Drosophila melanogaster: one gene and its partner. The protein of the gene in region 1 interacts with the protein of each later gene in a pairwise test. Each region holds a gene or a part of one and is shown in the gene's direction. Other genes may lie near its edges.

Region 1 (8,183 bases):
GCAGATTTTTGCGCGGCGAAAAGAATATCGATCGCATTGCGGCGATGGTGCCCGGCACCCCCGGTTCGGTCTCATACCAAAGAATGCACAGCAACGACTCCGACTACCAGAGCGGAGGAGCAGGCGCCGGATCAGGAGCAGGAACTGGAGGAGGAGGTGGTGGCGGCGTTACGGGCAGTGTGGTGGATGGCCTGATGGTGGCGGCCAATGGCAGCGGACAAGGTGGGCCAACGAGTACTACATCTACTACTTCTTCTACTCCCAACTCAAATTCAAGCTCAAGCTCTAACCAGAGTCCCCCAGCGGCTCCAGCGTAGAGTGAGCCAAGTTATGCTAACGATTTACAGAGCTAGCCAACTCGAATATGTTCTAGGCTTAAGCAGAGATCCTCAAGTCACACTCTCTAGTACAACTCTCTCTCACTTTCTACCCCCACCCATACACCTACTACTTTCTCACTCAACTCAAGCAACCCATTACAACTACACTATCCATTACTCTTTACTCTTACCAATTAATAATTGATTTAATTCTGATTGCCACACACTCGAAATCGCTTGAAACGCCGTCTCATGCGCAGCTAATCACCAGGCAAATAGGTACCGCCAATCTCCCTCACCGGCCCGCCAAAGGGGCAGCACCTCGCAGTTGAGTGGTTATTCTCGGGCGCCCTCGAAACGCTCCCAAATCCTCACCCCGTATCGCACCCAACAGGCAGCCCTGCTCCACAAAACCGGAGCGGGTTCCGCGTCCATGCAGAATATGATGCCATTGGCGTATCTGCCTCCGCGGAGGAGTTCCGCCGCGGGATTAGGTCATGGATCTGGTTCCGGCATGGGCAGTGGCTATCGATCGCACAGTGTGGATGGGCTTCTAGATCAGGCGGGCTCAACTCCAGAGCAAAGAATAGCAGCAGCTGCGGCCAAGGTGACAGCGGGTAGTACAGCTCTAACGAACGCCAGTTCCACAAGCACTCTGCAGCCCGAAGAAGAGGTGACGGATGCCGCCCTCAATGACTCGGTGACCCGGCGTGACAAGCATACTTTATCCCCACCGGGAAATGTACAGCAGCACAGAAAGTCCCGAAGTCTGGATCATATTCTCAGCAAACAGACTTTAGCAGAGCTGCTTCCACCGAGTAGCGAACTCGCAGATGGAACGCAAAGTATGCAAAACCTGGCCATTCCAATGACCCCGCAGCCCCAACGAAGGGACACCAGCTCCTCCTCGAAATCCCCCACTCCCGAAAGACCTCCGCAACCAGCGATGGAAAGGGTAAGGGAACGCCAGAGTCCTGAGGGTGTGAGTGCGACGGAAAGCGAGCGGGAGGATCAGCCAGAAGAATGTCTGCGACATGGCAACCAACAGAGGGCATCTGCCTCGGTTCATCGGGGAGCCAGTTTGACCAGCAACAAGACCTCCAACTCCTCACTGGGCTCCAACTTTAGTGCCGGAGGAAACAACAAGACGATATTTAATCGAACGATGAAGAAGGTCCGCTCGCTGATAAAAAAGTAAGCCATAACGAGGAGGCAGAGAGACGAGATGGACCGGGACTCGATGTCCCCACTCGTCGCTCGTCACTCGCTATCTGCTCAATATTACTGTTATCCATCATTTCACGATCTGATTTCACCACTAAGTTTCTTCATCTAAATTTAACTGGTAACGCTTCGGATAAAAGATTTCAGATGTTACTTCGAAAGAAATCAGATTGTGAAAAGGTGCTTCTAGTTACTCGCCAATCGCCCACTAAGTGCCTGTTAACCCGTTTCTCGCCACTCGCTGCATTTGTGCCATCTAAAAAGAATCTCATCCAATCACGCATTCATCCACCCCCTGGGGACCCTTACAACCTTTCTACCTCCACTCGCTGACTCTACTTCTCTTTCTCTGGTGTTGGTACTCGTTCGCTATTTTTACTCGCCACTCGTTGACTCGTTTCGCTAAGCATCCACTAAAACTCGCCTGCGTTGCCCAAAAAATATATACGAACGCCCCTCCCCCGCCAATTTCTATATCTTCAAACTCTATTTGCCTTGTGATTAGTTGTTGATTTTGATAATTATTTTTTTATTGAAAAATAAGTAAGCGAATTTAAATTGCGAAAACTAATTTATGAAAAGAAAAATACAATTAACGACTGCATAAATACGAAACCTAATTTATAGAACACAAAACAGAAACCATCTAATTCTAAACACTACAAGAAACAAAAATATATTGGAGAGCGAAAACACTCTATATTTAAAATGCTATTTATAAATAATATGTTTAAAAATTTGTACATTTTTCGCGAATGCAACATGTTCTTGTAACCGTCCGCAAAACGTAAACTAAAAATTGCAAAATTTAAAATTAACCCGTGTGGCTTAAAACGAAAATATTTACATAAGTGATATTTAAACTACGTATAATCGAAATTTACTTAATGCAAAATTTTTACAACAAAACATGCTGTACAAACCTAATTTTTAGCGCAGGAGTTTTTAAGGCATATTTTTATTGATTTTTGCAATATATATTTAATATTTAAATAGTGCCTAAAGTTAAATACGAAAGCCGAAAAAATCGAAATACATACAAAAAAAAAAGGAAATAAAATGTGACTTAATTCAAACTAAATGTGTATTATTGGCCCTATTTAGCCCTGTTCCCCTGCTTAATCAGTCCATACTATATCATCAATCGCATGTACCGATATTATACGTTTTGTTCAATGTTTGTATTGCGTTCTGCATTTGAATTTGTGTTTGTGCCTTTAATGGAATTCGAAATGTTTTATTTGTATATATCTTATCACTTTTATTTCTTCCCTCTTTCTTTCTCTATATCCGGACTTTTTTGTAGACCATAAAAGCGAAATTGGCTACCGCAATCCGTTGTAACTGTTGTTATCGTTGTGCCTGTTGTACTGCCCCCGCCCACAAAAGCACCCACCCACCAAATCGAATCGATTTCGATTTCGAAAAACCCATCATCGCACACCGTGAGATTAATACGATGCCTACACTCAGCATCCGCCGTCTCGACAACCAACATTCATTGTTATTTATTACCAAGCAAGCAACAAAAAAAAGAAAGAAAGCAATCAAAGCAAATAGCGATACCAATAAACGTGTATATAATTGCATAAATCGAAAGAGTCCTGTCAAACATTTTTTAATTTGTATCTTACCCATACCTCCTCCCACTCGAAACAGCAACGAAATGGAGGACGAGGAACTTTCGGGCATCATTCTGTCCAAGGCCACCTCCCCCAATGCCGGGCGCATGATATTTTGGTAAATGATGGACCATCCCCCACCTGACACACATTCAGTCACACAAACGTATCGAATTTTTGTAAATATTTAATAAAACAAAAAACAAATAAAACGAACGATCTGAAACTCGAAATCATGTTGTTATCTAAACATCTTGAACTTACAAATACAAAAAACTACAATTTGCAAAAGTTCTAAAAAGTTTTTGAACATTATTTAAAGACAGGTTTGTATATAATTTATGAAATTAGCCTAAAATATAGCTTTTAAGACATTCCTTTAAGCAACATAAGCTAATAGCTGCAATCTATAATAGTGATGCTGCGCATATGACTTTCAAAACCGACCAGTGTGTCCACACCAGAAAAGTTGAATTCATACGAAATCAAGCAATATGTGAACTCAATTCAGCCCTGAAATGGAAAGTTTCACATTCCTTTTTCTGTCATTTGCACTACGGCATTGTCAGGGAACGTGTTCATTTGGTACCACATTTTTTCATATATTGGTCATAATCGGTTCCAGTTCATATCGCTTCCGATTTTTTGAAAAATAAAAAGGTACAAATATTCCAATATGTCCGACAATACCGAGAGCAAACTTGCGCTAGACCCGTGCGATGTGATCGTCTTTGAGGGACCATTCAACCGCTCGGTGAGCAGGAAGCTAGTCATCAAGAACACCAGTAAGACCCAGCGAATGGCCTTCAAGATGAAGACCACCACTCCAAAACTTTTTTATGTACGCCCCAACATCGGTGTCTTGGGGCCCGAGCAGAAGGTCAGCGTTGACATATTCATGCAGCCAATTCTGCAGGAGCAGATAAAGAAGCGTCATAAGTTCCTTCTCCTGGCCGCCGAGGTGACTGGTGACATAAGCGATGTGCAGGAGTTTTGGAAGATGCAGAACCCGAATGAAACTCGGGAAACCAAGATCAAATGTGAGCTAGTCCCTTCGAAGGAGGACGATTTCCGTCAGGCGGGAGGTTCAGCTGTAATATCCACGGACAACAAGGACGGAGAGGTCCATTTTGATGCCCAGGAAGTCAGTGAGCCAATGGCCAAGTTGCTCAAGCAAGTCAGCATGCTGGAGGACGAGCATATGGCCCTCACAGACCAGATCGACGGCTTGCGTGACCAGGCGATTGGGCGCACTTTCTTCTACATGGCCGCCATAGTAATCATTATACTGTCCGCTGTCGCAGGCGCCTATTATGGCAAGACTCGTTTGTAAATTCCTTATCATGGCAGTTTTTAGAACATAAGGCAGTAAATTGCACCGAAATTGTACGAAAATTATTTGTCAATAAAGGACATTTTGGTTGCATATTCTATTTTGAGATAGATAATTAGTTTATGCTTGTATACCAATAAATGCGTAAGATGTTATATTCTCACTTTACTAGAAGTAAATAAGTTTAAAATAGGAAATGTCGAATAAAAATAAATTTTTTCAAAACAATTTAAAATGCTTTTTCCTATTTCACTTTATGAAGAGACAAAAAGTAAACTTATTAAAATTTCTGTGAATAACACGTCAAGTTTGATCCAACTTCTACAGGCAAGGCGTATAGGTGTATAGCACTTGCTAAAATTTAGAACTTCTTTTTCAATTCCCGCCAAGACGGGACCACCTGTCTAGGCCAGTGCTGTGAAGCGCGCGTGGCCACAGAGCTCGGCAACCCTGCAGCCGTGCGAAAGCGAATGTGGTGAAGAAAAAAAAAACAGCGAAATACACACGTATTTTGCGACGAAATTAAATAGAATTCCTGCTAAGGGGTATAAGGACACTTGAAGGATGTCTGCGCGAATGCTGAAGAAGCTGCAGGGCGACGCTGACAAGCTGGCGCCACCGCCCGATGACGAGGACTGCGAGGAGCTGAGCGACAATGATGAACTGGAGGACAGCGATATGCAACGCTATCGAAAATCACACCTTAATCCATTCGATTTGGTAGGCCGCTATTAAAAAATAGCCAGCTCATCACCGAATGAACTGCATAATCCTCCGTTCCCACAAATTTTCTAGCTCAATCAAGCCGGTTTGAGTCTCTCGGAGAGTGAGTTCAAAGAAGATGACAATGAAACGGAGCATCCGTCTGCTGCCCTGCCCAATGCTACTGCCAGTGCGGCCAAAAAGAAGAAAAAGAAGCGCAAGAAGAAGGCCAAGTCCAGTGGGAATCACATCAGCAGCGAAGATAACGAGCGTCAGGATAAGTACTTTGAGAAGGTGGATCCGCTCCTTGGCAAGGTCTACGATGCGGTGCCCAGACAGTCGGCGAAACAGTTGGTATCGGCTGCCACCGGGACTACTGCCACCAAGAAACTGCTGGCCGTAGAGCTACGGCACCTGAATCCACAGAACGAGATGCGTCGCACTTTTGGCAAGCGGGTGGTAAAAGTGGAGTAAGTTTGGAGTGCCTGGGCTAAGAACTTCCATTCTGAAACTTAACTCTTGCAATCAAACTTTCTTTCAGAACCAAGCGTGGCAGGCAGAAGCCCACGCTGAAGTCCACCTATATGGTGACCGCCAAGGATTCGTGGCCGGCACTGACTAAAAACACCATCACGATGAAGCTGCTGCCCGCCCCAGACTCTCCATCGGTGTCCTCCAAGTCTATCACAGATAATGGAGCGGACGTTCAATGGTTTGCCTTTGAGCATAGCCAATACTACCAGGGAGTGCAGCAAATGTTCCTTTCTGCTCTCGAGCGCATTGACTCGGAATTTCTGATCACACTTATCAAACGCTGCCCCTATCATGTCGACTCCTTGGTTCAACTCAGCGAAGTATGCAAGATGACCGAAGACTTTTCCTTGGCCTCCGAACTGCTTGAGCGCGCCCTTCTCCTTCTGGAATCGTCGCTGCACATCAACTTCAGTTTGACGTCGGGCAACTGCCGACTGGACTACCGGAGACAGGAAAACCGATCCTTCTACATCGTGCTGTTCAAGCACGCGCAGTACCTGGAGGAACGAGCTTGCAGCCGCACCGCCTTCGAGATCTCCAAACTGCTCCTGAGTCTTCAGCCAGACACAGATCCTCTTGCCATGATTCTAGTGATTGACTACTATGCCTTGCGCAGCAAGCAGTTTGAATGGTTGGTAGAGTTCTATGAAAAGTATAACGCCGCGAGGAACCTCAATCAGCTGCCCAATATGGCCTACTCGTATGCTTTGGCTCTACACACGCTCTATGGCGCTTGTGAACGCTCTAACCAGGCACTGCAATACGCCCTACTAATGTTCCCGGGTGTTTTACGTCCTCTTTTGGACGAGATGTCGGTGCAAACGGACAAGAGGGTCCTGGCCTCATCGTACTTCTTTGCAGATGTGTCGGGCAAGTAAGTGGAGTCTTATCTCCGTGAATGATTAGTGGTATGGAATTTAATGTCTTATCTTGTTTACCAGTCAATCGCCCGCCCTGCACCAGCTGGTGTGCCTGTATGTGTGCCGTGCAAGAGTCGTTTGGCGTCAGAACGAGGTGCTACCCTGGTTGGAATCCAACGTGAACATAGTGTTAGATCGCATTGAGAGTAAGGATCCCCTGGTTAATGAGTACAAGGAGAAGCGATCACTGCGATATAGTGGAACACCACCAAGGCCCATTCTTCGACATGTCATACTCTCCGATTACAAGGAGAAAGTTCCACTGGCGGTCTTCGTGTCCAAGGAGAAGCAAGCCATTATGACCTATGATCCACTGCCGCCACCGAACAGCGTCAACTGCTATCATCGGTATGTCGTTCGAATCGGCTCAAAGTTAGTAAATTCTAAAAACCAGTACTTGCAGAAAATCTTCGTCAAGCAGCAGCCCCACAACGAACACGAACAATTCTGTGTCAATGTTCTTTCAATCGCTCTTGCCTTCGTTTAACATTAACAACCTAGCTGCAAATGCTCAGCTACAAGAAGGAGCAGCACCAGCAGCAGGTGCGGGAGCAGCTGCAGGCGATGCTAACATTGAAGTGGGCATTGAACAAGGAGCTGCCGGCGTAGCTGGCGAAGGAGAAGGTTCGTATGAGCATTATTAAAAATATCTTGAGATAAAACCGATTTTGTCGCCCCCGTTTCGTCACAGAGCATGAATCTTAGAATATGTTTCGCTGGTTGTATTATGGCTTTGCTTAATTTCGTTCATATCCCGAAATTGTATTAAAGCTTTGGCTTTTGTTTCAATAACTTGGCTAAAAGCGATATTTTGTTTCTCATTCTTAAAATCGTCAAAAATCTAACCTAAAATTATGCTGAAATTCCAAAAGAATCGCTAGCGGATATCGTAGTTACACTTCTCCTCCAACATTATTGCAGAAGCTGGTTTGCAGCAGTCATTAACGCTAATGATGGACGCGATGCGAGACTTCCTGCAAAACTTCCGGATTGCAGAGCACTTGCGTTCGCCGGAAACGGCGGCGGCACAATCCACGAGCAGCAACGACGAGGAGGAGGGCTCCAGTGACTACATTGACTAGTCAGTTTGTCAATTACGCGAGGCGTAACGAAGTTGTTTCGGATTTCTAGCTCGGGACATGTTTTTTGGAAACCACCTTTTGCTATTTTCTCAGCTTAGCGACACCGTCACAAAATTTATATATACAATACATAGAGCAATTTGAACACAAAAAAATATATATATGTAACTTATGCATTGAATAAAATTTTCCAGTAAAAGCTTTAGATCGAAAGCGACGAAAGTGTTTGAGCTTAAAGAATGTTTTATTGATTTATTTAATGCCTTTTTAATTACGCTTATCAATATAACAAACAGATTTCTCATCAATATTTCTTTTCGTTTTTCCTTTTTTGTTCATTCAGTGTTTGAATTGGTTGCAGTTATTGCAATTATAAATATTTCTATGACAAGTAGAGCGTTTTCGTATTTAATTGTGTATAGAGCCGGGATTTCTCCAAGAGCTTA
Region 2 (2,964 bases), 6.6 Mb from region 1:
GGAGCTGGGCGTGACCTTTTCACATTAATCTCCAGCTTGATGGCGTTTTAATGCAGGAAACTCAACTATAACTATATGGTTATTTATTGTGATGGGTCTGACAGATGTTGTTCCTGATATGGGATATGGTTTGTGGAGAGCCAGAGCCTAACGAACTGGGAAATGGTCTCTGAACATTCAATTATATCATCAATTAGTTGGTCGTGCAACATGTTGCAAGAGTGATTTGGACAGCAGATTAGGCAACAGCATGAGACCACTTGGCATAAACAAGGGTAGGGATTTAGAGGGTTTTTTCATATGTACATCTCTACTAATTTAGATTGATCGCGAGCTGTTATTTTAAATATTTAATGTGAAATATGTGCGTAAAAAAATGTCGATAAAACTCGTAACGAGTTTTATGTTATGATTCTGTGAAATATAAAAAACAGAGCTTTAACTGTTATAACATATAATGAGTTGGGTATTGTAAATATTAAATATTAAACGTATGGCTTTCTTATATTTCTTAATCAACTATTTATTTATTCCGAGTACATTTTATTTTTAATTTGTAATTTAACTTCAGTGACAGGATTTCTTTACAACATTTTTTCACCAGATTCCTACACTTATTTACAAAAACTTAATTTATCCCGTAGTTTATTACGCCCGAAGATACAAGCGAACAAACTAGAGCGAGCTGAAAAATGTTGCCTACTTAGCAGCGCAACGAGTTTTCAATAGAAAGCCCATAAAGTGAAAGACGTCGCAAAAGTCAAAGCCTTGCCACAAGCCAAATGCCAAATGGCATTATCAATAGAGGATTCAGCGAATCCCGGAAGATATAGAAAGCCAAGTGTGTGAATTTAACTTGGTGCAGTCATGAACATGCATTCGCAGCTACAGCTCCATATATACATCTTAGTATGTGTGTAGTGCCATGCCATTTATTCCATTGAACAAAAAGTCATTTGTAAGTGTTTTTATGCGTAACGGAATTTATGAGGAGCAGTTCCTCAGCAGATTTATTGCTTTATTACGATGTGGCAGAGCGATGGGTATCAAGATGGGAATCCAGTTTGGCGACAAAGGCCAGAGAAAAATAAAGAAATGGCTGGCAAATATTTAGCACATGGAGGCGAAAAACTCACTGAAAGAATGATGGCAAAGAGCCATGGGAAAAGGGGAGGGTTAAGGGGAAAATGGCGAGAGAATGAATGCTGCATTTCCTCCCTTTTCGGCTTTTGTCTCTCTTTTTCTGCGTACGGATTTTCCTCGAATGGTGGCGGGCTGTGGGTGGAACGGGTGGACGGAATGGGGTGGACCTTGAGGGCGTTTCACATCGTCGACATCGTCATCAGCATCATTCTCATTGCAGTCGTTAAGTTATAGACTTTGATTTCGTTCGCCTCGTTCAGCTGTGGGGAAACTTTTATCCTCACTGCCACCCAAAGTGCGTCCTTTTTGGCAGAGTCGTTTCAGAGATTTATTTGCCTTGTGCCCTGGCAACTTTCGACTCTCGACATCCATATCCGTATCGTTTGCTCTCCTCGCTCTTAAATTGCTTTAATTGATTTCTGATTTTATGACCCTGCTGAACACATTTCACACATGATTACATGCCAAGTGGGTTGCGATTTCTTAAGAGGTTTTAAATCCGTCTATTCTTAATTTTGAAGATAATTAAAACGTTGGTTTTAAATAAAAAATATAGTTTGATGTGTCGCTTAATTAAAAATGTTTCAACGTTGTGACCATCTACTCATATTTATGGAGTTTGGATTAATACTATTGTTTATTGTATAGAGTTACTATATCAAACATGCTGCTCTCGATTTTGTTGTCAGTATAAATTCTGTCTTTGATCTGTTTGCACTTAAGTCTGTTCTAGTTCACAGCTCCTGAATAACTATTGAAATTTCTGAAATATATTTTTTTTGTCAAAATGTCGGACGACGGATCTGATATATTCCAAGACCTTGAAAGCTACGAGCCCTATACAGAAGGTAGCCAAAACAATAGTGACGAAGCAACTGCAGTGGGGCCTCTCGATACCTCTGAGGACGCTCGCTTCTCCGAGCAGGTATTCTCGAACATTCAGGAGCGTCTGAACCGAATCATTAATCGCATTAGCATGGCCAACTCTGCCGTGGTCCAGATGAAGAGGAAGCTCCATGCTCGAATTCCATCCGTACCTGTTGGCGAAAACGCCGACCAGTTGGCTGGAGGCGATAATCCAATGCGATTTGAAAACGTCGAACAAGAAAACGAAACCACCAACCAATGATATAAGAACATTTTTATATTTCTCATTTTCAAAAATGTATAAATTTATTGTATTTATTTATTGTTATTGTTATTGAAGCCCATTTAACAAATCACAAACAGACCCGAGTTAATTGTTAAAAAATTATGCATTAACACAAGCCAAGGATTCGAAAACTAAGCGCATATAATAAACTGAGCAATGAGCAAAAGCAATACATTGTATACTGCCCTTATCGCCATAATCTAAACTATTTTCAACGATATTTGCAATTTATTAGTGGCCCTCCACACACAATTGCCAAACTTGCTTTCATTCGGTCCACAAACTTTGTGGACTTCTTTTCGGCGCATAATAAACTTTTCATTGACCGCCCTTCAAAAATGTTACCCCAAGCAATTTCGAGCAGCTGCATATTGTCAGGGGGCCTTTTGTTTTGTCGAAAACTTTGCAAAGTCGGAAAATTTGAGACTGAAATTTGCATTTGCCTTTCGCCACATTCACATAGAAAGACGAATTGCCTTGGAGCCAAACAAATATGTTAAAAGCAATAAATAAGAAAGGACATTCTTCAAGTTCGTCGTCTGCCGCTCGAGATATTGGCAAAACGTATTATATGCGATAAATTTCGACAGAAAGCTGAAGTCCGATACTTATCAGTGGAAATGAAGCCAAACATAATTTGCCATAAAATGCCGTTGCAGCGGCATTAA

The links.
Region 2: the proteins of fan (region 1) and gdrd interact in a two-hybrid assay, tested with the Drosophila melanogaster proteins (one large-scale study listed by BioGRID).

What each region holds. Positions count from the first base shown.
Region 1 is NT_037436.4:8,105,436-8,113,618, forward strand, and holds fan (farinelli), read left to right. Parts: upstream 1-3,696; 5' UTR 3,697-3,842; coding exon 3,843-4,499; 3' UTR 4,500-4,608; downstream 4,609-8,183. Other genes in the region: Sarm (sterile alpha and armadillo motif), read left to right, coding at 5-222, 581-1,514, 3,204-3,288; Nulp1 (nuclear localized protein 1), read left to right, coding at 5,064-5,219, 5,295-5,671, 5,743-6,609, 6,677-7,003, 7,059-7,279, 7,577-7,737.
Region 2 is NT_037436.4:14,689,499-14,692,462, forward strand, and holds gdrd (goddard), read left to right. Parts: upstream 1-1,848; 5' UTR 1,849-1,930; coding exon 1,931-2,272; 3' UTR 2,273-2,464; downstream 2,465-2,964.